Danio rerio: one gene and its partners. The protein of the gene in region 1 binds, or shares a complex with, the protein of each later gene. Links are inferred from orthologs where the notes say so. Each region holds a gene or a part of one and is shown in the gene's direction. Other genes may lie near its edges.

What was found.
Region 2: med24 (region 1) and med31 share a complex: the UniProt entries of both Homo sapiens proteins name them as parts of the mediator complex. The link is inferred for Danio rerio from reciprocal best matches to the Homo sapiens genes MED24 and MED31.
Region 3: med24 (region 1) and med19a share a complex: the UniProt entries of both Homo sapiens proteins name them as parts of the mediator complex. The link is inferred for Danio rerio from reciprocal best matches to the Homo sapiens genes MED24 and MED19.
Region 4: med24 (region 1) and med18 share a complex: the UniProt entries of both Homo sapiens proteins name them as parts of the mediator complex. The link is inferred for Danio rerio from reciprocal best matches to the Homo sapiens genes MED24 and MED18.
Region 5: med24 (region 1) and med21 share a complex: the UniProt entries of both Homo sapiens proteins name them as parts of the mediator complex. The link is inferred for Danio rerio from reciprocal best matches to the Homo sapiens genes MED24 and MED21.
Region 6: med24 (region 1) and ccnc share a complex: the UniProt entries of both Homo sapiens proteins name them as parts of the mediator complex. The link is inferred for Danio rerio from reciprocal best matches to the Homo sapiens genes MED24 and CCNC.
Region 7: the proteins of med24 (region 1) and med1 are in contact, whole or in part, in a cryo-EM structure (PDB 8T9D), measured with the Homo sapiens proteins. The link is inferred for Danio rerio from reciprocal best matches to the Homo sapiens genes MED24 and MED1. Residues at the interface, in NP_055630.2 of Homo sapiens: Lys7, Ile10, Trp14, Lys15, Arg17, Leu47, Ala50, Met51, Ile52, Gly53, Pro54; in NP_004765.2 of Homo sapiens: Phe375, Asn377, Gly436, Leu437, Gln439, Glu441, Ser453, Asn459, Asp460, Ser461, Leu462, Val463, Cys464, Tyr480, Lys481, Gly482, Asp485.

The regions. Positions count from the first base shown.
Region 1 is NC_133187.1:11,211,424-11,215,180, reverse strand, and holds part of med24 (mediator of RNA polymerase II transcription subunit 24), read left to right. Parts: intron 1-99; coding exon 100-137; intron 138-318; coding exon 319-401; intron 402-548; coding exon 549-727; intron 728-3,406; coding exon 3,407-3,506; intron 3,507-3,640; coding exon 3,641-3,757. UniProt on the Homo sapiens protein: Component of the Mediator complex, a coactivator involved in the regulated transcription of nearly all RNA polymerase II-dependent genes.
Region 2 is NC_133196.1:43,308,335-43,312,807, reverse strand, and holds the start of med31 (mediator of RNA polymerase II transcription subunit 31), read left to right. Parts: upstream 1-1,557; 5' UTR 1,558-1,697; coding exon 1,698-1,719; intron 1,720-2,215; coding exon 2,216-2,290; intron 2,291-2,475; coding exon 2,476-2,572; intron 2,573-4,473. UniProt on the Homo sapiens protein: Component of the Mediator complex, a coactivator involved in the regulated transcription of nearly all RNA polymerase II-dependent genes.
Region 3 is NC_133189.1:26,390,870-26,395,093, reverse strand, and holds the end of med19a (mediator of RNA polymerase II transcription subunit 19-A), read left to right. Parts: intron 1-742; coding exon 743-839; intron 840-919; coding exon 920-1,008; intron 1,009-3,408; coding exon 3,409-3,474; 3' UTR 3,475-3,667; downstream 3,668-4,224. UniProt on the Homo sapiens protein: Component of the Mediator complex, a coactivator involved in the regulated transcription of nearly all RNA polymerase II-dependent genes.
Region 4 is NC_133191.1:7,708,687-7,713,220, reverse strand, and holds med18 (mediator of RNA polymerase II transcription subunit 18), read left to right. Parts: upstream 1-1,594; 5' UTR 1,595-1,860; coding exon 1,861-1,933; intron 1,934-3,705; coding exon 3,706-4,259; 3' UTR 4,260-4,406; downstream 4,407-4,534. UniProt on the Homo sapiens protein: Component of the Mediator complex, a coactivator involved in the regulated transcription of nearly all RNA polymerase II-dependent genes.
Region 5 is NC_133179.1:2,083,039-2,087,027, forward strand, and holds med21 (mediator of RNA polymerase II transcription subunit 21), read left to right. Parts: upstream 1-1,286; 5' UTR 1,287-1,331; coding exon 1,332-1,373; intron 1,374-1,986; coding exon 1,987-2,101; intron 2,102-2,187; coding exon 2,188-2,288; intron 2,289-2,860; coding exon 2,861-3,040; 3' UTR 3,041-3,355; downstream 3,356-3,989. UniProt on the Homo sapiens protein: Component of the Mediator complex, a coactivator involved in the regulated transcription of nearly all RNA polymerase II-dependent genes.
Region 6 is NC_133179.1:6,195,602-6,200,097, reverse strand, and holds the start of ccnc (cyclin-C), read left to right. Parts: upstream 1-1,487; 5' UTR 1,488-1,577; coding exon 1,578-1,609; intron 1,610-2,108; coding exon 2,109-2,215; intron 2,216-3,353; coding exon 3,354-3,438; intron 3,439-3,615; coding exon 3,616-3,685; intron 3,686-4,285; coding exon 4,286-4,337; intron 4,338-4,496. Other genes in the region: ngs (notochord granular surface), read right to left, coding at 403-653. UniProt on the Homo sapiens protein: Component of the Mediator complex, a coactivator involved in regulated gene transcription of nearly all RNA polymerase II-dependent genes.
Region 7 is NC_133187.1:16,863,675-16,867,431, forward strand, and holds part of med1 (mediator of RNA polymerase II transcription subunit 1), read left to right. Parts: intron 1-1,200; coding exon 1,201-1,333; intron 1,334-1,424; coding exon 1,425-1,453; intron 1,454-3,410; coding exon 3,411-3,482; intron 3,483-3,573; coding exon 3,574-3,648; intron 3,649-3,757. UniProt on the Homo sapiens protein: Component of the Mediator complex, a coactivator involved in the regulated transcription of nearly all RNA polymerase II-dependent genes.

The DNA.
Region 1 (3,757 bases):
GGTGGTCCTCCAGGAACATGTTTGAGAAACACTGGTTTTATCTGTAAACCCAAAAATACAGAGTGTCAAGAAGTTTGATGTATATTTGTTCTTTTCCAGGCTGAACGAGTTTCCAAAGCACATTAGTGGAGAAGGATGTAAGTTTCTTTTCAGGCTATTATGTTTATTCGCTGTGAATTTTTGCCCTCTTCTAATTTTTTCTTTATGTATTTTTGTAAATTATAATGGAAGATTAAGGATATATATTTGGGTATTTTGAGCAGCACATTACCCAGCCAAATCTGAGCACAAGTTCACTTTTAACAATCTACTTTCTAGCGAAGTCTGCATCAGTACGAGCTCTGCTATTCGACATTTCCTTCCTCATGCTGTGTCATGTCGTACAGACGTATGGATCAGAGGTCAGCATTTACACATACATAATTTCAATCTGATAAGGTTATGTAATGTTCTTATATAATTCTTAATCACATCCTGTCATCGCAAAACACTCAGAGTCACAACTGAGTCAAAACGCTCCGATCATATCCTACTTCCTGTCTGTCCAGGTGATTCTTTCAGACCCCAGCCCATCAAGCGAGACCCCTTTCTTTGAGACATGGCTTCAGACGTGCATGCCAGAGGAAGGGAAGACCCTGAATCCAGACCACCCTTGCTTTAGACCTGAGTCTGGGAAGGTGGAGAGCCTGGTGGCCCTGCTTAATTCTTCATCTGAGATGAAGCTTGTGTAAGTGGTGCTTCTCTTTAAAGTGCCATTATTACTCTATTTAACAAGTTTGTTTTGAAGGTCTTTAGCAATAAGTGTATATCCATCAAGTAAACAAAAAATATATACTCTTACACTGTAAAACCCAAAAAGTTAAGGTATCTCAAACCGTTCGAGGAAACTGATTGCAGCAAACCATTTAAGTCCAAAAACAAATCCTAATGAGTATTGTGAACTTAATCCATTTAAGTAAATTAAGCAGTTTGAGCACAGTAAAACCTGATAAGTGAAGAGAACTCAAACCAATGGAGTACTGTAAAACCCAATAAGTCAAGGCAACTCTAACTGTTTGAGGAAACTGATTGCAACAAACCATTTGAGTTCAAAAACTAATCTATATGAGTACTGTGAACTTGCTTAATTTGAGTTGAAGTAATGAGGTATTTAATTTGAGTTCAAAACTCTTTTCAAATGAGTAGAATTAACTTTCAGTCAATTTTGAGTTAACTTCACTCATTTCACTTGATAAAGTTGAATGTTGGGTTTTACAGTGTAGCATACATTCCCTGTTCATGTTCAAGGATCCACTCTTTCTAAATCTCTCTTTTTGAGTGTTTGGATTGTCAAATAGGCACCATTTTTTAGTGATTGGTCTACAGCTCATTAAATTAATTGCAAGTGGCTTCCTCTGGACTTGTAAATACAATGATAGAAACAATAACGTGGCAATGGTTTTGTCAAAACGCATTTTCTTTCATTCATTGAGGATTCATACAGTGTATTTGTTTCAGCTGGATTTATTCTTTCGTCTGGCGCCGCATCACACACCTCTGCTGACTGCGCGCGCACCTCACAAAACGGACAGGGCTTTTATACTTGCCGCATTCGCCAAAACAACAGGGGGTGGTTAAAAAAAACCCCACCGTAAAATCACACGGATAAACACAGACTACATCATATCATTAATATCATTCAAGATTTTTAAACAAATAATTTTTATTATTTTAATAAATTATTTTAATGATTATAAGGATTTTTATAACCATTTAAGATTTTTTAAGTCAAACTTAGATGCATCTTTTGAACTTATGTTCATATCTCGGACAGTTTTACCTATTAAAGTTTATTAAAATATCATTGACAACAGAACATGGGTTGCTTTACAAATGTATTTTTATAAAAGCAAAAAAAAACATTACAATTACTAAAAATTATTTTAGATTTAGCCCGCTCCACAGTTTACACATTACTGTCTGATAATGTTTCTGTCCTCTACTTATGCTAAAAAGGAGATAATGGTCCAACATTCTTGACCATTATCACCAATAAAGCCTAGAAAAACAGGCCATCAGTATATTGTAAACCGATAGGTTCAAATATTCCTTTCCAGTTATCAAAGAAATTATTTGTTCTGTTAGTTTTGTAACTGTTATATTGTTTTAAATAAAAAAATAATATATACATTAGTGTAAAACCTATGAATGGAAAAACATATTTCTGTAATTGTGTATCCGGGTCTCCACTTTTGCCATGGCCTCTTTTGGCTTTAACAAACTTATCCCTCAAGTTTTCCCAAATGTTTTAGCAAAAACATTCTTCCTTTCCCACTAATGTTGTAATTTTTAGCCAAGAATTTTTGATCATCTGGTTATATCTATGAACATGAATCATAAAGATGTCTCTACAGTTGAACCTGTTTCAGACAAAATCTCTTCAGTGTTTCATAATCAACTCAAATCAGTTGTGGCGCCGTGCGAACTGTTCGCTCGTCTCAAAAAAATCATGCGCTCCGCCAGCCGAAATCATGACGCGTACACCCAAACCTAACCTCCGCAAACACTGCGATAACGTCACATTCGCTGCGCCCACTCAATCGAACTAGCGGACATGTCGAGTATAAACAATGCAAAAATTTTCTTTTTGACCTGTTGACACCACAACTGTACTGTTTAGATGTTGTTAATAGGATGACAGTGAAAACTAAAGGCTGGCATTTTCAAATGTGTTACAAACCTACATAGGGTTGTGCATGAAGTAATGCCTGAATTATTGACCATCACTGAATAATATTCTCTATGACACAACAAATTCATTTATTGTATGCTTTTGAATATTTGCATACCTTTTACATTCAGAAACCGCTATATTAGACACCACACCAAAGAAAATATCTTAATCATTCAGTGTAACATCAGATAAGTGATGACTCGTTTTGAATAATAGATCCAAGATTGGGAGCATATCTCACTATAGCAAAACGTTTTGCTAATGTGGAACTGTTGATCACTCTTTGAGAGCTGACTGTTGCTCGGATACAGGTGTTTGTTTTATGATCCTGAAATACGTTTGAGTTAAAAATGTGTAAGTAAGTGTCTTATTAAAATTAAAAATATAAAAAATAAAATAATAATCAGGGATTATATTTTAGGGTCTGCTGTCTTTAAATGAAACTATTAGCCTAACAGTCATTTGTGTAGTTTTAGAGTGTACTACCAGATGTGAATTGGCAGGCCAAGAACCTAGATCCAAAAGTGCATATTTGTTGTATGTATATTTGATGAAAAATTTGCTCAGATTTGGGAGAGGACAGTGTGTTTTGTTTAAGTATGGAACGTATGCAAGTAAGTAATGATTGGCCACAAAATGGTTTGTTTTGTCCTGCCTGTGAGATAAGTCAAACATATGCTTTCTTCTTCCCAGTCAGATGAAATGGCATGAAATATGTCTTAGTACTCCTGCAGCTATACTTGAGGTCCTGAATGCCTGGGAAAATGGAGTTTTGTCAGTGGAGGCTGTTCAGGTGAGGGCATTTAAGAAGTCTTTAAATGGCACACAATTCCCATCATTTGACAGTTCGGGACCAATAGTATGAATGTCACACAGTAGTTTCTTCTTTATGACTGTAACTGAAGATGTGTTTTTCTGTGAGTGTAGAAGATCACAGATAATATAAAAGGAAAGGTGTGCAGTATGGCCATCTGTGCAGTGGCATGGCTGGTGGCTCACGTTCGGATGCTGGGATTGGATGAGAGAGAAAAACCTCAGACTATG
Region 2 (4,473 bases), on another chromosome or scaffold:
AGAAAAAGCAAATAAAGAACAAGAGCGGGTTTACAATTACCATAAAAAAAGAGGAGTTTTGTTTTTGGAGTAGATCCACAGTTGCTTTATGACTTGAAAATCCTTTAAGATTATAAAAATATTTTTTTTAAATCAGCTTTGAAATGAAAAATGTTAGGCTTTCTCTTTGAACAATAACACTTGTGTATATGAAACTTAATAATATCAAAAGATTTAACATTAACAGGGGATTCTTATCTATATCTTTTTGATCTACGCATCTGACATCTCTTTTTCTTTAAATTAATTCTGTGACCACTTAGTATATTAAATAGACATTCAACATAAAGCCAGAAATATTTAACATATATACAATCAACAAACAAATGCATAAGAGTCTCAACATCCACTCCGCAAATAAACACAAATTCAGAAAGATCAACTTTTGATCATCTTTTGAGAAATTGGTTGGTTGGATATATTTTATGTATAATTTCACTTTATTAGTGACACAATACTTGTTGTTATAAGTCCAGATCAAGTTCCAATAGATATTCTCAGATTATTCCAAAAGTATTTGTGTCTAAAAGTGGCAAGATAATAAATCAAGCGTCTACAAAATTTATTATTACATTTTCTATCTTTGAAATCAACACCATGTAATTAAATCTCATTTTTAACTGTTAGTTTATTTGGTTCACTGTAACTCTGCAAAAGCCCCGCCAGGCCTTGTGGAGGCACAGGAACTAAACTTCTCAAAAAAATTCAGTAGCCTATAAGTCAGTAAATATCCTTCATCTTTTAAGCTGTGAGACCAATAGAACACCTTTTTAACCAAATTATCATGGAAAATAGATTTTTTTTTCTTATATTCCAAGTCACAAAATGTATTTTGTAGGCTACAAATATTACTACGAAAAAAAAAGGTGCAAATGCCTCATAAATACTTTTTTAAAATATTGCCTGAACTTTATTCGGCTTACTTATTTGTTTCTAAACATTTTGATATTCCGAGTAGTTGTACATTTTGTGGTGAGGATGATGAAACTTTAATACAATTATTTTGTATGTGTGAATTTGTTCAGAAATTTTGGTTTGACCTTTATCGTTATTAAACACTCCTCCTACCTTTGCACAATATTTTAGTTTAAAATAAAGTGTTTGTTATTACTCAGAATAAATCTGAAGAATTTGTTTTCAACTTTTTATCTTGTTTGGAAATATTTTATACAAATATGCATTGTTTCAGTCCCTACTTTTCGACATTTTCTCATTAAAGTTGACTCCTGCTCAAATCTTTGCGTACGTGTAACAACAACAAAAAATGTGTCAGATACTTGGCTCTACATGAAGAACTGTTGACTCTGATTTGAGTTAAATAGCTCTTAATTAATTTATTTTTATACAATTTTATACAAGTGTAATTTACTTACCCCTTACAAATGTAGTTTGTATTGTTCCTATTTTGTATCTCTCTTATATTGATCTCCTGATTGTGGTTGTAAGTTTTCATTCTTTATTATTTAAAAAAAAGGTGCAAATGTCGTGAAACACTTTTACGACAGCAGCACTGGTTTTATGGCAAAAATGGCGTCAGCGGTCTATGTCCGCATAAACAATGAGTAATGTGTTGTTTTTGGTAATCGCGCTCTAAAAAATCTTTTTATACTAATCATTTTCCAGATATTTCAGCGTCGTCTGAATTCTCGTTGTCCGTAATGGCTGGTGTTATGGAAACAGGTTTGTTAAAATTAGATTGAATTGTTATTTAGCACATCTTTGCCCACGAGATTCCTAGCAATGTGACAGTTAACGTAAATACAATTGTTTGGTAACGTATTTTAGTTTCGTTTTGATCATATTAAGTTATACAACGTTTTAGAGGTACTACACTATGTGTTATTTTCTGTACTGGCGCAGATATATGTTGTTCAAGCAATTTCTGTAACACTTAACATTAAGGTAGTATCGTCGTTAGCCAATGTTTGCTAACATGAACAAACAAGAATCGTTATATTTATTACAGTGTTTGTTCGTCTTTGTTAAAAGTATTAATGAAATAAAGTAATCTCAACTTACGGTGCATCAACTAATGTCAAGCATGAACTTGCATTTTAATTATGCACTAATACAAGTATTGTTCGTTGGTAGTTCATGAATACATTTACTAATGATTATTTGTATTATTTCTTTTCAAACACAAACATTGCTTACGCTTCTATTTGTGCTTTGACAGACGAGCAGGCGAGACAGCGCTTTCAGCTGGAGCTGGAGTTTGTTCAATGTCTGGCAAACCCAAACTACCTGAACTGTAAGAACAACGTTAACTCTTGTTTCTTTTTTACTGTTCGCTAAATTCAGTCATTACTTTAGTCATTGGTCAAATTCACTCATTGGTTGTTACATTCTGTAAATTCAAGGTAATTTTGTTACTGTGGTCGAAATATGAAGATGGATAATGATTATTAATCTTAATTTTTTCCCCCCATCCTGCAGTTCTGGCTCAGAGAGGTTACCTGAGAGAGAAGCCTTTCGTCAATTATTTAAAGTATCTGCTTTATTGGAAGGAACCAGAATATGCTAAATTTCTAAAGTAAGTAACATGTTGTTCTTGTTGAAATAGATTGTTAATTTGTCAAACATTTCTTCTTTGGATGATGAGTGCTTCTAATAAAAGCATGAAAGAAAGAAAGAAAGAAGGATATAAAATTTGTTCAATATCGTGTAGTTCTAGTGCATAATATTTATTAGTTATTTATTATTAGTTATTTATTAGTTAGTATTATTAATTATTTATTAGTTTACTAGTTATTTTGTAAAATACTATTATTCAGCTTAAAGTCCTGTTTAAAAAATTGACTAGCTCAATTAGGCTGGTCATTTGACAGCAGTTGTTTGTTTTGTAGACAGTCGAATATAAGAAGTTCTTAAGGGGGTGAAAAATATCGACCGTAACGTTTTAAGAAATTTATTCTTTTAATGCCACCAGAATAAAGAAATGAGACATTCTATATAAGTTAAAACGTAATAGTTTAGAATAGAAATATAAATATTTGTTTTGCTAAACATGACTTGGGAAAATATTTGAAAAGGAATTAAGAATTTTACAGGTGGTCTAATAATTTAGCTGTATATAGTTGTATTTAAAAATGTAAATTGAATTACAAGTTTAGTATGTGTGCCTAATCTGTATGGAACAAAATTAATGGCAAAAGTATTGAAATAAAAAGTTTGTTGATTAGCATTAACTGAAAAAAAATAATGCATTGAATAAGCAACTGCTTGCATTTTAATGACTTGAATTGCAAGAGTTTGTATTTTTAGGGCCTGAATTTTAACACGGCTGTTTATTTAAGCTGTGAATATTTCAACTAAAAATATTTTAAACATGTTTTTATACTTAAAATTTCAACAATTCATATTCAATTTCCAGATTTCATATATATATTAAAAGTTCAATTTTTAAATATATAATACTGGTGAAAAATATGAAGCATAATGTTCAAAATTTAACTTTCAGTTTGTTTACTTTTCAGTTTAAAATTTTGCTTCCAAAAATTCAGTGGTTTAAATTTGGCTCTTAAAATTCGACATTACTTCCGGGAACTGCAGGAACAGCAATAGATTGCAGATTGGCAATCTCCAGCTGCTTTTTCACTAGCAGGTGGACCAATTTAAGATTTTTAAACCATTAAATAAAGGTTTAAAAACTCCCTTTTTAAGGGAAAAAGCTAATAACAGCACAAAAGTAGCATTTAATATTGTCCTTGTTAAATTTTAACAGCCGAATTTGATCCACTAAATTAATGGAAGAGAACTTTTGAACTGAAATAAAGTGAGTTGAAAATTGTCTTTTGAATATTATACATGAAATCCGGAAATTAAGAATTATTATTTTTAAGTATAAAATAAGTATAAGAATTTTCAAGTATAAAAACGTGTTTGAAAAATTTTTAATTGAAATATTTACAGCTTAAATAAACAGCTGTGTTAAATTTCAAGACCTAAAATTACAAACTCTGGCAATCCAAGTCATTAAAATGCAAGCAGTTGTTAATTTAATATATTATTTGTTTCAGTTTGTGCTATTCAATACGTTTTTTTTTTGTTTTTGTTTTTTTTAACAATACTTTGATTTTGTTCCATAAATCTGCAGTTTACATAACCTAAACTATAAAGTTATATTATTTTATTTGTCAATATAAAGCAAAAACAGACAATATGGTGCCAAATTGTAGGTCGCTTACCATTAGTGCTGTGTGATACTGAACAGAAAAGATTTAAGCATTCTAAATAATTCAATGCAATATTTTATTAAAAATATCAAATCAATGAAATATTTCATATGATTTCAGGGAAAAGAGAACATCACTACAACTTCTGAAAGTGAACAGCCATGTTTAACAGAAACATTCATTCTTTCAATAAGAGATAAGCATTTACCGTCATTTCTACAAGCTCTGATAGGTTTACAGATGAAGCATAGCACACTGT
Region 3 (4,224 bases), on another chromosome or scaffold:
ATGCAGTGTCTTTGGGGCTGAGAGTAAATTTGGCATTCACTCCTCTGGCTGCCGTCATCAGTCTCACGCTATTTTTTTCCTTTTTCTAAAAGTCTTGATAACACCATCGAGGAGTTTTTTTAGTTGTTATTATCTCTCTCATTACAAATGAACAATGATAGCAAATGTTTAAATGTGGCTTGAAGCATTTTGAGCCAGAGAAAGAGGCCAGTGGCACTTGTAAATCTCAGTTTATATGTGTTTTCCATCAGATTTTTATTTTCACTCTCCGTCTTTTAATCCTGAAGTCTTCTGAAATGGCAATAATTATTTTTTAACATTAATAGATATACATAATTCATATCAAATTCACATTGTTTAGATTACTAGAATGGACACTTTATTTTTCTCCCAGTTAAACAGCCACTTAATGAGTGAGTTTTAGCTACTTGTAGCGTTCAGAAAAAACGAAATACCCATGAAGATACTCGACACAGAGGAACATAACCTACTGCCAGCAAGTGTACGGAAGTGTTATTGCAGAGCAACACAAACAGCATGTATACAGTAGTATAAATGCACGACTACCCGCAAGGCAGGCACCGTGGATCACTGCGATCACGCAGAAGTATAAATCAGCCATTTTAAAAGGGATTTTTGCACAATTGGTCCCCTTTTAAACAAGATGTAGACAGCATATTTTCTAAAGCAATCTAAATGTGTTCTTTGAGCTTCATCTTTATAGTGTTGGTTTGTGTTGCAGCTTCCTGAGCAGTACAGACTGATGCACATACAGCCACCAAAGAAGAAGAGCAAACACAAACACAGACATCATCACCCTCAGGATCCTCTACCGCTAGGTCACTTCAAAAGCTCATGGATTTTCACATTTTATTTCCTCTGTGCACCACATGCATGTTAACTTCCTTTCCCTGTGCAGAAACCCGCACTGACCCCACCAAGAAGAAGAAAAAGAAAGATAATGAACCTGAACGCAGGAAGAAAAAGAAAGACAAGAAGAAAAAAAAGGTGAGCCACTTTGTTGATGCGGCGCAGAATCTTACAAATTTACAATAATTAAAAAGTGTATTGTTGAACAAGGTTGAATGCTACAGGATGTTCCTGTATAAATAATAATGCGTTATTAAAATTTTAAAAATGTATACACATAGGAAGCAGCTTTGCTTTGGTGTAACATCTGAGCAGCCTTGAACAATGCTCTTTATAATTATTTATCATTTTTGCTTCACACAAATATTATTTCAACAGTAAACTGTGTTTATTTTACATTTAAAAGGATGTGTAAGCTTAATGAATGCGCCCTCTTTTACATGAATATTTTACACTAATATAGTTGTGCATATATACTTTAGATTAGTCAGTACTAAAGCTAAGACTGGAACTGATCTAACAAAAAGACTTAACATCACGGTCTAAAAATGAGACCAGCCAAATTAATTAAAGGTGCAGTAGGTGATTGTCTACAGAAACATTTTTTGATGTGCAGGTTGAAAGTCTCTTCACATTCCTATAGTAATGATTAAATTAAATGATCTAAATGTATTTACATGTATTTTTGTATTCTGGGTAAGTCATAAGACTAAAAAATGTTAATTCCCATAATTCTGATAAGTAGCCCAAACTGTCTGTCAACAAATGTAGACTTGTACATCTGCGCTGCTATTCGTGCAAATCTGCCGTTTGTGTGTGCACGTGCGTTCACGTGCACATGAGAGAGAGCGCGACCAGTAAAAACAAATGCTGAAACAAAACTTTATAATCCTGAATCAATATTGAAGTTAGTTTTTATGCTGGAGGAAGAACGAGACCATGGCTGAAGTATTTCTTTTAGACAGGTCATGTTCTGTTTTAAAACTATTAAGTCACACAAAGCTGATGTAGATTCTGTTGTTTCACGGATGTGTTATATGCACGAAAGTGTAATTCCTGCACCCGCCAGCCAACCACTAAGCATACAGTAGTGGCTTTAGGACAAAACGTGGGAGAGAGTGAGACCAACGATCCTTGTATGGATGAAATATTGCACATTATGACAAGTTTTGCTTGCTACACGACTGAAAACATGCTGGATATAATACAGTATTTTGTACTTTACAGTAATAAAGTATTGTAAAGTTTTTCAACTGGCGAATGACAAGAGTTAGTGGGCTGTCTACTGTCATCTTTGCAGTGCGTGTTTGTGATTTCAGGAGGCGTGGCTTTGAAAAATAGGGGTGGGACTGTTTTCTAAGATATTATGCTAACCGGTTAGCATTTTGGCAGATCACCTACTGCACCTTTAATGAGAAACTTTTTGTACAAATTTTCTGTCTCTCTATTCCTGAATGCGTTAGGCGATTTAATTTAATTTGAATAAATATAACAGTTTGATACAACACCAAAATATATTGACGATTCACAGAGAAATTGATTAAAAAAAATAGGAATTTTCCAAAAGGGTTGCAACTCATTTATGCTTTAAACCGTATGCATGTGTGTGTGATTTAATTTTTTTTCTTAAATTTATTTGAATAAAATCATTGTTTTTATCTTTTACTAAAACTAAATAAATTTTCAAACTTACTTTAGACATCTTGCTTCTCAATAAATGTGTCTTGATTTAAGTAACTGATAAGTTATTCACAATAGGAAACAAGACAGTATTTTGCAGTATAACATTTTATAAATAATATTAAAATATAACACATTAGGGCTGCACAACATATTGTTTCAGCATCAATATCACAATGTGATCATTCGCTATAGTCACATCGCACATTTGCATGTGTTTTTGATGCCGCTGATTGTATAAATGATTTTAAAAACATTCAGCTATATGAAATTGTACCATTTGTGACTTTAACAACAATTAATTTTTAATTATTTTTTATTTTTATCATTCAAGTTTTACTTGAATACTGTTAGACTCACACTTTATTTGTATTAAAACACTTTATTTGTATCTTTTTCTTGATTGTATTTATAGATTGTTGTGCATGAAAATACTCGCAACACATGCAAATACAGAAATGCACTGCAAATAGCACAGACCACAATGAAAATGTGCCAGAGGACCCCAAAAATGTTAAAAATAGTAATTATAAGAATCTAATTTTATAAATTATTTCCAAATAGAGACAGTCATCTGGTGAAATTTTATTCATATTGTAAAATATATTGCAGAGATATATTTTTTCCAATATTGCGCATCCCTATAACACAATATTAAATGCTCAATGTTAGTGGCATTCAAAATCAAATCGATGGTCTGCACAGTGTAGAATATGTCCCTAGAATCTACTTGATACCTTAATTATGTTGTAGAATAATTACTTGTTTATTGCTGGGACCTGTCACATTTAAAGTACACCCCATTTAGTCTTGTTAATGCATTTAAAAGGTCTTGGTCTGTTCCCTCTTTTCTTTTAGAATCGACACAGTCCTGATCATCCTGGTGTTACTGGATCTCAACCCAACAGCAACAGCCTGAGATAGAACAGTTGTGTGTGTGCGAGTGTGCTTGTTTGTATGTATGTTTGCACACATGAAGTGATGTTGAACTGTGTTAGAGAATCTGATATGGACCAGTGCGGTTGATTGATGTTTACAAGGGCCAATTGTTGATGATTTTTGACTTCTTTTTCTGGTTATGATGAAAAGCTCAAGGAATAAACTTTGTTATTCTTTATACAGTCTTTAAACACACTCTTTCTTTTTTGTTCACAATAACAGATCATAAAGTGTGCCAAGAAAATATCCCCCACACCATTACACCATCACTAGCCTGAAGTTGTTGATGCCACATTCTGACCATACCATTCGAATGTCACAGCAGAAATCGAGGTTCATCAGACCAGGCATAGTTTTTTCCAGTCTTCTATTTTCCATTTTGGTGAGCCTGTGCCAATTGTAGCCTCAGTTTCCTTTTCTTAGCTGACAGGAGTGGCACCCGGTGTGGTCTTCTGATGCTGTAGCCCATTCGACTCAAGGTTGGATGTGTTGTGCGTTCAGAGATGCTCTTCTGCATACCTCGGTTGTAATGAGTGGTTATTTGAGTTACTGTTGCCTTTCTTCCATCAGTTAGAAGAACCAGTCTGGCCATTCTCCTATGACCTCTGGCATCAACAAGACCACAAAACTGCCACTCACTAAATATTTTCTCTGTAAACCCTAGAGATGGTTGTGCATGAAAATCCCAGTAAATCTGCAGTTTCTGAAATACTCAGACCAGCCAGTCGTGATCCG
Region 4 (4,534 bases), on another chromosome or scaffold:
AATATAAAAACACTAACGTTGGCTCTGCTAACTTGGGCTAACTTACTGTTAGCATTTAACACTGTTTATGACAAACAGCACAGGAACGAACAACTTTAAAACGACACATCTTTAAAAGACCAACTTATCTAATGTGTTTGAGGCATTTATTCGCCTATCTGAAGGTGTCAGACTGATAATGTGTGTAAATAAATAAGGACTGACAGAAAAACACAGCACTCGGAGACACACCTTTGGAGCTGGTAACAACACCATAACTGTCTCGATTACAAACACTACTGCATCCAAACGTAAGTAAAAGACACATAATAGTAAATTACATTCATTAGATGTCGACAGGAAGCATTACAGTTGAGCTCATCTTCAACAGCCAGCGATGTCATGCAGCCCTAAGATGGCACGAAACTTCAAAATAAAGGTCTCCACATGTCGATTTATTTTCAAAATAAACGTCACAGTGCATTTAATGTTTTCCACAATAAAAGTTACTCGACTGCTTTGCGTTCATGGTTCATACCATTGGTTCATACGTACGTACTGCATGTAAATGGTAAATATGCATGTTTAAGCTATTTGGAAATAATATGATATGAAATAATAACAATTATTAAAACAATATAATTTTTGGAAAATATGCTTAACGTGAGCTTATAAAACTAGGTATTTATGAGAAATGCACATAACTAAGAAAATGCTAGAAAAAATAAATAATAAAATAACAATATAATAATAATAAATGATGATGATGATGATGATAATAATAACAATATTAATAAAAAAAGTCCTGCCAGTGCACTGAAACGTATAATATACTTAAAGTAACTTCCCTCATTGACTAAATTTTGACACAAAATATAACTTCATTCATTCATTCATTCATTCATTCGTTCATTTTCTTTTTGGCTTAGTCCCTACAGGGAGGGACATTCAACATGCAAAATCCAAACAAAAACGCCAACTGACCCAGACGAGGCTCGAACCAACAACCTTCTTGCTGTGAGGCGACAGCATTACCTACTGCGCCATATGGAAAAGTATACCATTTACTGTCTTTTTCTTTCTTGTATTTAATTAACCAATTAATTTTGAATGTATTGTTTAAAGTTTTAAAAAATGAACACCGATAACCCACCATTGCATTTTTGTTTACACATAATTTTCCATTTTAAAATAGTGATTTCCATTACTCCATAAAAAAAAATATATTGTATTTTAGGAATAGCCTAATTATTTCTTCATGTAGGACATGTTCCAGGATAGATGTCACTCCATGATTGCATTGGCAAAATCACACCCACCTCTTAGAGCCATTAGTTTTTCTGCAAGCAAACACCTTGACTTGAATTTGATCAACAGGGCAATCGGCTTTTCGCAACCATAATTGATGTTCTCCTGCTATTAATAATAGGCTAATAATACTCAATTTTAATACCCATTTTATATGATAAAGAGTTCACTTCAGTCCAGTAGGTGTCACTAAATGCACGCCTAAAAGAATAGAGCAAGCGTTGCACAATGCGCATGCGCAGTACTCGCTATCCATACTGCGCATGCGCTTTACTCACATGGACGCAGTTTCATCGAGACACATTATTTTTTCGTAGTATTTTACGCAAATCATTAGTTTTGTTTATTGCTTTTTGATACAAGTACAATATATGCTATTTTTAATTCATCGTCTGCCTGCTTTTTGTTGATAATATCTTCTAACACGTCTTAGCATGTCTATTGTTGTGGATGTTTTCTACAGCAGTTAAAGTTCTAGTTTAAGTTAATCTTTCAACTGATCGTTGACTGTAAATGTATTAAGAGACTTAAGTTCAGAATTATAATACTAGTAATAGTAATAATAATAGAGTGATGGAGGCTCCGCCGGTTACTGTGATGCCCGTCACGGGTGGAACTATAAACATGATGGAGTATCTTCTGCAAGGTAAACAACACCATCAGCACAACTCCTTTTACCATTCATTCATTCCTATTTATCATTTGTTACACTTTATTAAATAGTTTTAACTTAGTTTTTAAATACCCATTATGAGCAATCTCAATTTTTTAATTAGCAAAGTCATTTGAATAAAGCGTTGAATATGTTAAAGTGAATATGTAATTATAAACAATACACACACATTTTCTAGCGTTTTAAACTATTTTTATTTAACGCACCCTAATCTTCTTTAATTCCTTAAGACTTTTAATTTGGGATTCTGTATAATAAAAACATGTACTACAGTATTACTTTATGAATGTGCTAACGTTATATAAAACGAATAGTTTAGCATAATAATAGTATGTATACAATGTATTCATTGTAGTGTTTGTAGTATTATAATTTACAATTGTTATAATTTAAATTATACAATTATAGCATGCACTGTGCTACACGAGAGTTCTTTTTGCTGAGTCTTATTGTTTGCATAATATAGTTTGCTTATTTGGTCATATATTACCATTCCTACTTAAACCGTTACCAGATTTGTGTGTGTTCGGAGTAAATACATTTTTAACAAAATTATACAGCTAATTCATAAAGTATAATCAATAACACTTTCAAAATATGGTCTCATTAGTAAATCTTAGTTCATACATTAAAACAAAAAGCCACAGTGAGGGATATCGACATTTATTACAGTTAATAAGTTAATGTAAGTAAAAAAATACAACTGAAATGTATTATTTAATAACTAAATTTATTAAAACAATTACATCTTTTTTTTAGTGACTTATTAAGCATTAACTAAGAAATTGACACCACATTGCGAGAAATTGTGACATTACTTGAGACAAATTAGTCACAATTACAATTTTATTTTTATTGATGTATAGGAACAGGCTTAAATTATCTATCTATCTATCTATCTATCTATCTATCTATCTATCTATCTATCTATCTATCTATCTATCTATCTATCTATCTATCTATCTATCTATCTATCTATCTATCCATCCATCCATTCCCCTATCTATCCATTTATCTATCTATCTGTCCGTCCGTCCGTCCGTCTGTCTTTCTGTCTGTCTTTCTGTCTGTCTTTCTGTCTGTCTTTCTGTCTGTCTATCTATCTATCTATCTATCTATCTATCTATCTATCTATCTATCTATCTATCTATCTATCTATCTATCTATCTATCTATCTATCTATCTATCCATCCATCCATTCCCCTATCTGTCTGTCTGTCTGTCCGTCTGTCCGTCCGTCTGTCTATCTGTCTGTCTGTCTGTCCGTCCGTCCCTCCATCCGTCCCTCCCTCCATCCATCCATCCATCCATCCATCCATCCATCCATCCCCCATCCGTCCATCCATCCATCCATCCATCCATCCATCCATCTATCTATCCATCTATCTATCTATCTATCTATCTATCTATCTATCTATCTATCTATCTATCTATCTATCTATCTGTCCGTCCGTCCGTCCGTCCATCCATCTAATCTTCCATCCATCCATCCATCCATCCATCCATCCATCCATCCATCCATCCATCCATCCATCCATCCATCCATCCATCCATCCATCCATCCATCTATCTATCTATCTATCTATCTATCTATCTATCTATCTATCTATCTATCTATCTATCTATCTATCTATCTATCTATCTATCTATCTATTTATGCCCCTAATCTATGCATCCATCCATCCCACCCCCTATCTATCTATCCATCTTGACTTGGCTGTGTTCTGTTGGTTTGTTTGGCACAGGCAGTGTACTGGACCAATCTCTGGAGAGTCTCTTGCATCGCCTCCGGGGCCTGTGTGATAACATGGAGCCTGAGAGCTTTGCTGATCACGAGTTGGTGTATCTCCTGAAAGGTCAGCAGGGCAACCCGTTCATCCTGCGTGCCCGCCGCTCGCTCCTCGACCCCTCCGTCCCCTGGCACCTGCGCTATCTGGGTCAGCCCGAGGTGGGCGACAAAAGCCGTCATGCCCTGGTGCGGAACTGCGTGGACGTGGCAGCCTCGCACAGCTTGCCTGACTTCCTCAATGAGATGGGCTTCCGCATGGACCATGAGTTCGTGGCCAAGGGTCAGGTGTTCCGGAAGGGTGTGATGAAGGTGGTGGTGAGCAAACTGTCGCGTGTGCTGGTTCCTGGAAACACGGATAACACGGAGCCGCTCTCTCTGTCGTATCTTGTTGAGCTGAGCGTTCTGGCTCCTGCGGGACAGGACACTGTGTCTGAGGACATGAGGAGCTTCGCAGAACAGCTCAAACCTCTCGTTCACCTGGAGAAGATTGATCCCAAAAGACTCATGTAGAGAACATGACCTACAGACTGAGATTTTTAATTCGGTGAATAGGTGTTAAGACTGCATTTATTTGGAATATTTTTGATGATTGTTTTCTTTTTTTGTAATTGATGAAATGCTAATTAAAATCTTTAAATAAAAATATTCATTCATTCATTCATTTTCTTTTCGGCTTAGTCCCTTTATTAATCCGGGGTCGCCACAGCGGAATGAACCGCCAACTTATCCAGCAAGTTTTTTACGCAGCGGATGCCCTTCCAGCCGCAACCCATCTCTGGGAAAAA
Region 5 (3,989 bases), on another chromosome or scaffold:
TAAGATTCACTAAAGTGTTAAATTATAATATATATATATATATATATATATATATATATATATACATATATATATATATATATATATACATATACATACACACACACACACACAAACACATATATACATACACACACACACATATATATGCATGTATGTATGTATGTGTGTGTGTGTGTGTGTGTGTGTGTGTGTGTGTGTGTGTGTGTGTGTGTGTGTGTGTGTATTTACATTATCAGCAATCATCACCTCATAAATATCAATGTAGTCCAGTTTATAAACAGTACAAGCAGTCATAAAACCCAAATACACTAGAACAATAATAGTTAGCTATATAGAGGTAAAGTCTGTTTTATATTCACATATTCAGACTTTCTCCTCAATAAGGTAATTTCAGAAAAGTAATGTTTACAAATTCTAAATAGGGAAATCATTGTCGATGTTGTTTTGAAGTCATCCTTGCCTGCTAATGTCTATCGAATATTCAAAGTAACGTTAACGTTAACATGGTAAACAATACAGAGACTGCTAAATAAACGAATGTGCGACTATAAAAGCAACGTTACCTCTATGTTAGCTATTATGTGGTAACAATAATAGGGTTATTTCAGATTGATATATTGACCTTAAATCAGTACACGAATCGATCACTAATTGATCAGCATTTCATTCTTAGGATTATTATTTCAGATTGATATGTCGGCAGCTGATTCACTCTACAAACACGAATTATTTGTCACATGTGTGCGTTTAAAAGGGATTATATAATTAATTAAGCGTGATAAGTAAGATATTTTGGGATGTTTGTGTTTATTTAGCGTAACGGTGAACTTTAGATCAGTTGCAACATCATATCAATCACTAATTGATTAGAAATACATAGTTGACATGATTGATTTCGATTCATATGTCGCTAAATGAGCTGAGTCACACTTTAAACAACTGTTATTTGCCACATATGTGCGTTATATAGGGATTATATATTTTATCAAGCGTAATAAAGAAGGTATTAGGGGTTTAACGTTACTCACTCTCATCCTGAGCGCGCAGTGAACCGACCCACGACAAGACGAGCAGAACCAAACATTCTCTCTTCAGTGGCATTTTCCCGGATCAGTCCAGTCCATAAACACGCTTTAGCAGAAGCATTTACATTCGGCAGTCATGTTGAAGCTTCACATCCAGCCTCCGGAAGTGTCAAGCACTCCTGCTTTGCGCGAAAATGCAACAACTTTTCAGTAGACGAGCGCTTTCGCTGTACGCTGCGCTGTATCACGTGATGTAGCATTGAACGCGCTCGGCGGAAACGGAAACTGTGAAGAGGAGCCAACATGGCCGACAGGCTAACGCAGCTTCAGGATGCTGTGAACTCCGTAAGACTCATTTAACGTTTATTTTATACTTCAGAAACTGCAGAACACAGCAAATGTCTTCCGAACAGATTTACTTAATAGTCTGGTTCATTAAATTGGATTATTTGCTTAAGAAGTCATGTTGATGTACTGTAGCGTCTGAAGTGTTAGCATAGCGTGCAATTTGTGAACAAATGAACAGGTGAAGTTTGTTGTCATATGTGTTTTGATACTGTAATAAATGTTTTACTTGTTATAAATAAAACGAAACTGAAAATAATAGTCCTATTATAATCTAAGTAAGTGTATATAAAAGGCACCGTTATATAATTATAATATAACATATAATATATACATACATTTCTGTAAGTGCTATTGTTACTTATATATTGGTGAAGTACACTTAAATATTTCTTTTTTTGTGTTCTTCAAAGTGCAATATTAATTATTTTTAAATTGTTTTAAATTAATGTTGTTTAATCAAACATTACATGTAATTGTGTTTATTCATATATTACATAATTCACAATCTTAGCACTGAGTACTAATACTTCTCATCATGTCAAAGAACATGTAAACTGAAAGTAACAGTGGATTGTCCTGCATGTCTGATTTACTGCATGTCGTGTTTCAGCTGGCGGATCAGTTCTGTAATGCGATTGGAGTTCTGCAGCAGTGCGCACCACCGGCCTCCTTCAGCAACATCCAGACGGCCATCAATAAAGACCAGCCCTCAAACCCCACAGAAGGTGCTCTCATCTGCACTGATCTGAATGTGATCCACTTTGAAAATAATGTGTTTTGAAGTTGACATACTAAGATGTGTTTTTTCTAGAATATGCTCAGCTGTTTGCAGCGCTGATAGCAAGAACAGCAAAAGATGTTGATGTGCTGATCGACTCTCTGCCCAGTGAAGAATCCACTGCAGCCTTGCAGGTACATTTATTATATACACACACACACTGTATCACTGGCCAACACCACATTATTATTATTGAATCATTATATAATTATTGAGCCTTCTGCTGTTTAAAATATGGTTGTTCTGCACTTCAGGTTTTGAGTTCTGGCACTCAAAGAGAAGAAAATCAACTGTAAATTATATTGTTGCATTAAAAATGAATCTCAGCTTAACCTGTGCATCTCATATCCATTTCTGGAGAGCCACTGCTTTGCACATTTTGAGTTATGCCTACATAATGGACCTGATTATAAATATCATCTTGCTAGAAGAAAGCTCCAGAAGCTGCACTGAATGTACAGAGCAGTAGGAGCCCAGAAATGGATTTGAGAAACACTGAAATATACCATGACAATAATACACAAATGACCAATTAGCTAGATATTAATCATATTACAAACTTGATTACTGTTAATTGCTCATCCCATGCCACATATATTGCACATCTGGCTCTGTGCTACCCATGTTGTCCAAGTACAGAGTGAACAACAATACATTAGCATTATACCTCGTCTCTACTTGTTGTCATTTCTGATGCGTTTCTTAGGCCGCCAGTCTGCGACAGCTGGAAGAGGAGAACCAGGAAGCTGCAGCGCGTCTGGAGGAAGTGGTTTACAGAGGAGACGCCCTGCTGGAGAAGATCCAGACGGCACTAGCAGACATCGCCCAATCACAGCTCCGCACCCGCAGCGGAGCCCCGAGTCAGCAAACACCTCCAGAATCCTGACAGAAAAAAACCACAACATGAACTATAGTGTCGGGACACAGCAGGGATTTTATACGCATCCTACATCGACTGCAGGAGACTCACTGTTTCACATCGGTTTCTGGACTAAAGAAAGCTGATTTCCCATCGCATGTCTTTATTGTGCGACCTCTGTTTTTTACCTTGTGTAATGTTCATCAGCGTGTTACTACCATTAATAGTCAGCTTCTGGGTATGTTTTGTAAATTAAATGTTGTTTTTTTCCCTCACCAGCATTATGCTGATACTCTTGTTTTGAAAGAAGTTATGTTTAACAAATAAAAATATATTGTATGACATGCTTGTTTTTATTTTTAACTTTGACCTGTTCAGGGTTTAACGCTATGGATTTTTTCTACTGGTCCGATCGGGCCAGTGGTTCAGATTTTTACTTGCCCTGCCAAATTTTTTACTGACCCCACCAAAAATAAAAAAAGAAGAGAAAAAAAAGCTAAGATGATAGCTATTTTTAGCCACATATTTTAAATAATGTGTCAAAAACAATGTCTGTGAATCTCGAATTTCAATACTTAAAGATGCTTTAATAAATAATGAGCAAAATTCAAAGTGTTATGCAAACAAAAAGAGCAGTATGGAAAATGTGCAGGTTTTTTGCAGTTCAAAATCTATTAATAAAAGGTGGTTGACTTGTTAAACTGACGGCAAATTGTGTTAAACATCACTTCATTTTGTTGTTGTGTTGTTCCTACGTAAATATCTGCTTCCAATACATTAGAAACAGACATTCTCTTTAAGCCTTCTAACTTGCTGTTGCTGTCATGTTGCTGTTTCTTTGCTGTACTGGTTGTTGCTAGCGGTCCGTTATTCGCACATGGATGACTCCAGTTTAGCTGGGTTTGGTTATTGACGATTTGATATGATCAAGGATCGTTTAATTCTTCAAAACTGATCTGAAAATTGTTGTCATAGC
Region 6 (4,496 bases), on another chromosome or scaffold:
ATAAAAGTATAGCCTATTATTTCCTAAAAATATATAGCCTACAGTTAAAATATTTAATTATTGATTTACATATTTTTAACTTAAATCTGTTATAGGCTACTGATTATAACACAGTAAAATTATAATATTTTTCTTAAAAACACAGTAAAATATTTAATTATATTTTAGGCTACATCATTATTTGATTGTCCGGTATGAGCACTTACAGTACAGAACATTAATTTTACATTACATTTGTTAGGCTACAAATAACACAGTGAAATACTATGGTAAAGTTTTTTCCTAAAATTAAAACTTAGTCAAATTTTTTATTATTTATTTAGGCTACATACGTATTTGATTGTTGAGTATGAGCACGTTTATTAGAGAACATTAAATATATTACATTAGATGTCTCTTTACCTGGTCATGCGTGATTTGCGTGTCCCGGACAGCGCTCTGCGGCCGGTGCTGCGGGAATAGCTGGCGGACCGGTGTCTAGTCGCCCCGCGAGTTGGAGAAGGGCTGGAGACCCGGACCTGGAGGGTGGACGAGGCGGCCAGGCCTCCCTCAAAGTGCCTGCGGTAAGAAGACATCCTCTCCGGGCTGTAGCTCATGTTGAAACCGGTGGTCCTGAAACAGAAGCGTGTGATTGTATCCTCACACTCATTCATGCGGTAGTTTTATACCTGCTGTCCCGCAGAGGAATCTCGAACCTCGGGCTGACTTGAACTTAACCCGCTGCTGAACAATCTGACGGGTCACCGCGAAGAGTTTTACCGCAGTAAAAATAGAGGAGCGAGTTTTCCTGATGCCTGAGATCTTTATTAATCACATTCTCTGCACTAAAAGTGTCGAAAACTTTTTGGAGATTGACAGTAGCCTGGTGTTGACTTCATCGAGGAGGTGCATGCTAATTATTAATCATAAATTAACGGTTTATGGTCACTGTAGCCTTGTATATTGGGTAAAAACAAATGATAATGTAATAAAAAAATGACAATGTAAAGTTTGTTTATGGCTGTCAAAGACAAAAAACATGAGAATCTATATTAATACAAAACAATATCATTATATTATAATATATTGCATTATATTATATTATATTATATTATATTATAATTAAATAATAATATTGTATATTATATTTAATTATATTATATTGTATTATATTATACTATATTTTATTATATTATATTATATTATATTATATTATATTATATTATATTATATTTAATTATAATTAAATTATAATATTGTATATTATATTTAATTATAATTATATTATATTATATTATATTGTATTATATTATACTATATTTAATTATATTATATTATATTATATTATAATATATTATATTATATCATATTATATTAAAATAATTTCGATTAGATAAATATAAAGTTGATGCCAGTAAAGTCCGCAAAAACTCTTCCGGAACTGATGCGTTTGTTTGTTTCCTCCCGGACCGTTTTAATCTTCACATTGAAGTTCCACGGAGTGTTTTTTCTGTCGCGCTCCTCATCTGATCTGAACGGAGCATCGATTATTTTAAACACAATTTAACAGCACATTAAGGTTTATTTTCTACCTCAAGATGGCAGGGAACTTCTGGCAGAGTTCACATTAGTAAGTATTTTCGTATTTACTACCTAAATCACGCACAATAAAGGATTTTTGGGGGTTTTGCTGCGGTTACGGGACCATAAGAGATATAAAAAAACATTTCAATTGTCATATTTGAATTATTAATGCGAACAAAGTACCACATTTTGGTCATAACCAAGACTCAAATACGGAGGTTAGATTATTTGACTTTTATAAATCTAATAGTTTAAATCGTTGACTTATTAGCTTTAGCTGTCTGGCTAGTGAAGAAACCACAGAGAAATTAATTTGTGAATCATTTGCATAAATATCGGTTATTTACTACGTGAATTCATTTTCACACATTAAATTTACATTTATAAACTCAATTAAAGTAATGTTTTAATGCTAATATCCAGATATGAAGTGACTGATACATTTGTTGTTTGACTTGTAGAGTGTATTTATTACACGTAAATATTAATATATGTGTGTTACACTTTAATGATTTGTGAATTGAAAGTGTCTTTGTTCTTTTCAGTCTGCAGTGGGTTCTGGACAAGCAGGATCTGATGAAGGAGAGACAGAAAGATCTCAAGTTCCTCACAGAAGAGGAGTACTGGAAACTGCAGATATTTTTTGCCAATGGTTTGATGAGAAATTGCTTATTTAGTTGTTTTGTTTTCTCTTTTCTGAATCTGAAACTGTATTTCTAGACTAAGTGCAAAGCAAGACCAAAATATTCAACAATATAGTATTTACTCATGTTATATGACAATGGCAGTTCATTTATATAGCATAATTAAAAGCAACCCATGTTGACGGATGTGCTTAACATTAACTAAAATCCACAAACAGCAAGAATAAGTCAAAAACAAGTAAATAAAAAGGCTAATTAAAAGCTTTTACGTGGTTAAACGCCAGTAAAATATGAACTAAATCTTATTCATGTGTTCAGTGCTTTGTCAAACAAGATAGTTTTTATACTTGGATTAAAAACGAAACAGATTTGCAGCTAATCTAATGGAAGACGGGGAAATCATTCCAAAGTGTAGCAGCAGCTGCAGAGATTTCAATCTAAATTTAGGAATCAATAAAAGTCTCTCATCTGATGAGCGATCAATTAATGATAGATGGGTTTAAGAGACAATGTGCAACAACTTTTATTAACATGAGTTTTTATTATGCATAGTAAGCATATTAACTATGAGTAAAGTGTCTACTTTCATGCTTTAAATAGCTTTTGTGAAAATATTGTTTCCTCATACTTTGGTGTAATAGATAAATATATATTTTTCATGTTTGCAAAGGTATTTATATCATTTAAATGTAGTAATAATTTAAAAATATGCAAACAATAGGTGATCTTGTTCAATTTTGTTGTATTTTAAATAAGTTTTGTTGACAATTGGTAAATCTTTTTTGTCATTTTAACATATTTAAATAACAATACTTTTGGGCTACACTGTTATCTGTTAATATATCATCAGATGATTGATCTTTCAAGATTTATTTGATGTTAGACATTTTAGGGGGAGTTATCTGTAAATGTATGAAAAATAATGGCACTTTATGTTTTGATGCTTAGAGCCTTAATTTTTTGACCATATGACCAAGTGTTAGGTTACCACATATACTGTGGAGCGTTAATTGAAATGTATATATTTTTTTCTGTTTTGTATTCATTTGTATTTGGTTTTGGGATTTAAATGCAAAGCTAACTTAAAGCCTAAAAGTTTAAACAGCTTAAACACTTTAAAATGTTTAATTCGTCCTCTTGTGACAGTGATTCAAGCCTTGGGCGAACACTTGAAACTCAGACAGCAGGTCATCGCCACGGCAACTGTCTACTTTAAGCGTTTCTATGCCAGGTGAGCAGTGCAGTGCCATCATTAAAAGCTTGTTTTCTTCTAAAGATTCCTCTTCTAGATTCATCTAGGCTCTTGTGTTTTTCATGTAATGTGGTGCTCTATTTTTGTTCTGTGGCTTTCATTTAAGTACTCTTTAGTTCATGAAATAAAAGGAAAAACTCTTGGCTGTTTTTTCAGGTACTCTCTGAAGAGCATTGACCCTGTGTTAATGGCCCCAACATGTGTGTTTCTGGCCTCTAAAGTAGAGGTAAATACTCTGTCTGTATATAATATAAAGTGCTTGGCATAAATGAGTAAAACATTTTTTGAAAATAAATATTTTTTTACCATGTCTCAGTCATCATAGGTAATAGATTTTGGCATATTTGAACAAAACAGATTTATTAAACTGATATATTTATTAAAATATTTTTTTTGTCACCAATCATCTTTAGAAATAGAAAGATAATGCATGTACAGTCATGCAAAACATTGCAAAAAAATGACAAACTGAAATTTCAACTATATGTTACATTTTTTTTGTTTTTCTTGATTTTTATTCTATTTTTTACAATTTTATTTAATATTTGTCTTATTATATACATTTGACCTAATTTTTAGACCGTCATCATACTTTTTTTTTAACTTTTTATTTTTTTATATTTTTAGCTCCAGAATTTGACTTCAGTACTGACTAAACTAATGTATATGCACAAATATAATATTGTAAATCATCCTATAGAAAATATTAACTTAAAAGAGAGATTTGTGAGGGGTGTACTGAGCACTGTAAACACAATATTTATTCAGATTTCTGCTGAAAGATGTTTGAAACTGCATTTTAACACTAAAATTCTGCTGTCAACAGGAATTTGGTGTCGTTTCAAACACTCGGCTTATTTCAGCAGCAACGTCTGTGTGTAAGTGGGTTATATTTTACAATCATAATTTTTTTTTATGTTAATAAAATATATGTATTTTATATTATATTATATGTTATATGTTATTATTATGTTATTATATGTTATATTATATGTATTATATTATATGTATATATATAGTTTAAATTGTACTTGTAT
Region 7 (3,757 bases), about 5.7 Mb from region 1:
CAGCACACTTTAGGGCTTCAGGTGCTGAAATTCAATATGAATTATTAGACATTCAAAACTTTTGTAATGAGATACATAAATTAAATAAGTAGATACTGCTCACCATAAAAGCTATTTTGTATTATTATTTACTTTTAAGACATTTAAATTGTCTTTGGAAGAACAATTATCATTTACAAAAAGAGCTGTTAGCATCTGCTGAGTCTTTGGACTATCTCCTTTAAGCGTTGTACTGTCAAAGGCAGGTTCTTTATAAGGGGATCTAAGGGTTGAAGCTCTTTTTGGAAAAAAGTACTAAATTTATTTTATTTAATATAAACTGACATTTAAGCATAATCAACTCTATTCAATCAAATTTTAATTAAGGTGTTTAAAGAGAAAACTGGATACATACAAACTGATACATCACTATTACAGTTGCATCAATTGCAATTAAAGGTGCTTGAATTTTATTTACTTATTTATTTTATTTTTTGGCGTGGTTTTGACTGGCATCACTCACTGAATGGTCAAATATTCTGAACAGCATTATAGGTGATGTATTTTTTTCCAAATAACTTAAAATCAAGTTTGATTAAAATTAACATTAGTTTTTTGTGCTTGCAGAACCAGTTGTTAACGTTATGTATAGTGAAGATTCTTTACACATTCTAAATTATAAAGTTGTGAACACAGTGGATTGTCACATGTGATCACATGAAATTCATGTGACTTTTCTGTAAGGGTGTTTATAGAACTCTGCATGTCAGTCTGTCAAGTGCTTTGCTAAATCAAATATATTAGTGCATTTACTTTGAACTGCTTTGTATATTGTAAAAAAGTGCCCCACACCTGAGCCCCAGAACGGTTGGATAGCTTTAACTATTTCATGTTACTATAAATTTGGTATTATGCACCATTTCTTTTTAAAGCATACAAATAAGAGGATTCTCTTATTCAGATATTTAAATTTGCACCTTTAAAAAGGAAGGCAGTTTTATAAGTCATTGAACGAAAATTGAGGCTTCATCAAAGTTCACATGATTTTCTGAAAGCAAAGCAATGCTCACTTAAGCTTTGGAAACCCATACCCATACATATTATACATACCTAGCATTTTTTCTACTTTATTCTACTTGATCTAACTGTAGTTTAGGACATACCTTTTAATAAGTTAATATATGTTTGTCTTTCTTTTCTTTTAATGATGTATGGCTGCAGGTTGGGATCTCACCTGAGTCCTTCACATACTGAATGCTATATCACCTCTGATATGTTCTACGTTGAGGTGCATATGGATAAAAGTGGAAAGCTCATGGATGTAAAAGTGGCCCACCATGGTGAAAATCCTGTGGTGAGAGGGAGATGTGGCTATTGTAAATATATCTATTTGATGTATTTTTTCTGTCCACTTACATTTGATTTTATTTCTTATTGTCATGTAGAGTTGTCCTGAGCTGATACAGCATTTACGGTAAGAAACCCATTTTAAAGAAAAGTAAAACTATGCAAAAGGGTGTATGCATTTCTGTTAATGGATAAATTGCTGTTTGGGACGACAAAACACTTTTAAGTGAATGTAATTGCTGTTGCCCTATCAAACACACTTCATACAACAAAATACTAACCTTAAAATTTCTAGGTTTTGATATCAAAACAATTTACTTATGATGGTCGACAGAATGTTGTGCATCATTTAAAAGATAAATAAAATATTTGCTGTATTGCATTACCGTTCACCTACTGACTTCTTCACAGTAAATATATATCTATATATATATATATATATATATATATATATATATATATTAGTGCTGTCAATCGATTTTAAAAAATTAACTAATTAACTAACTAAATGCGATTAATCGCATTTAAAAGACTGAAACTTGTAATTTTGGCTATTCAAATGTAAAATTTATGTAAACGCAAGACAAAAACTATTTAGATTCAAAATATAATTGTTTATTAGAATTTTTGTTTAACTTGTTTTCCCAGAGATGGGTTGCGGCTGGAAGGGCATCCGCTGCGTAAAAACTTGCTGGATAAGTTGGCGGTCCATTCCGCTGTGGTGACCCCGGATTAATAAAGGGACTAAGCCTACAAGAAAATGAATGAATATTTAACTTGTAACAAAGATTTCTTCATGTAAACAACATACCCACAATAAACCATCAAGATCCTGGCTTGACAGCCATATTTATTACAGAAATTAAAACGCAGGCATGTTAATGCCATTTGAATTTCAAAACAATCAATGCCAACAAAAAAACATTGATTTCCATGTTGGATTGTAAGTGGACTGCAAAAAAATGCCAAAATGCAGGCATTACATGTATGGAAATGTAAAATTATAATAATAAACTATTGAATACAAATATGACACAGACACACACACAACGAGCTGGAGCGATTCCCTTTAGATTCAACACGCATTGCGTTTATCAAATTTGCTTAAATTAAGCGTTCTAAAGTATTATTGTATTTTACAAGGATTCTGACACAACAACGTGAAGCATACGCTTTCGTTGCGTTTAATGAGGAAACATGCAATACTTGGAGGGCTCATGCTGAAAGGCAGAGTAATGGCCTGTCTTTGACAGCTTGTGACTTCACCAAAGACTTTCTGAGTACAGTTACATAAGACACCAATACTCCGATTTTAATATGACTAAGATTACACTCTTATTAAAAGTCTACAGTGTAGCCTAAGCAGCTATTTTATTACCTTAAAGGAATACTGAGTCACGAAATGCGGAAGATTTTCTTTCTGTTCGCCATGCGGTATCAACTTACAACAGAAGTCGAAAGTTAAAAATTAAACATCCGAAATTGCACGAAACTCTGGATAACCTGGTGATGAGACATTAATTGTTTTATACTGAAACTTGCCTTCAAAAAGTGCTTCCTTGGTCTTGTCCACATTTCTTGCATGTTAAACACACGTCCACCACAACAGGAAGTAAAAAAAACCTGCAACTGCGTTTTTTTAACGCGTTAATTATTTAAAATTAATCACATGCGTTAACGCACTAATTTTGACAGATTTATATATATATATATATATATATATATATAATGTATATGTGTGTGTGTGTGTGTGTGTGTATATATGTGTATATATATATATATATATATATATATATGTGTGTATATATATATATATATGTGTGTGTGTGTGTGTGTATATATATATATATATATATATATATGTGTGTCTGTATATATATATGTATATATATATATATATATATATATATATATATATATATATATATATATATATATATATATATATATATATATATATATATATGTGTATGTGTATATATATGTGTATATATGTGTGTGTGTGTGTGTGTGTTATTTAACTCCAACTGTAAAGTTGTTAATGTACGGTAACACAGCATTAAACATAAACATTTGTTTTACAGAGACAAGAATTTTGATGAGTTTTCCAAACACCTGAAGGGTCTGGTCAACCTGTACAATCTCCCTGGAGACAAGTATGGTGTCCATTTCTGTTTATTAAATCATAAAGTGCTTTCAGTTCCAGTGACTTGCATTGCAATATCTTTTTCTCATCTTATTCCACAGCAAATTAAAGACAAAGATGTACTTGGCACTTCAGTCACTGGAGCTAGACCTCACAAAGATGATGCATATGTTCAGGTACACTGATTGATTTCCTTGTCAACAAAAAGTTTTGGATGATTGTAGAGATCCTGGTCATACGGGGTGGAGCAGAGCACCATACTTTGAAATGGATTTTAATATTTAA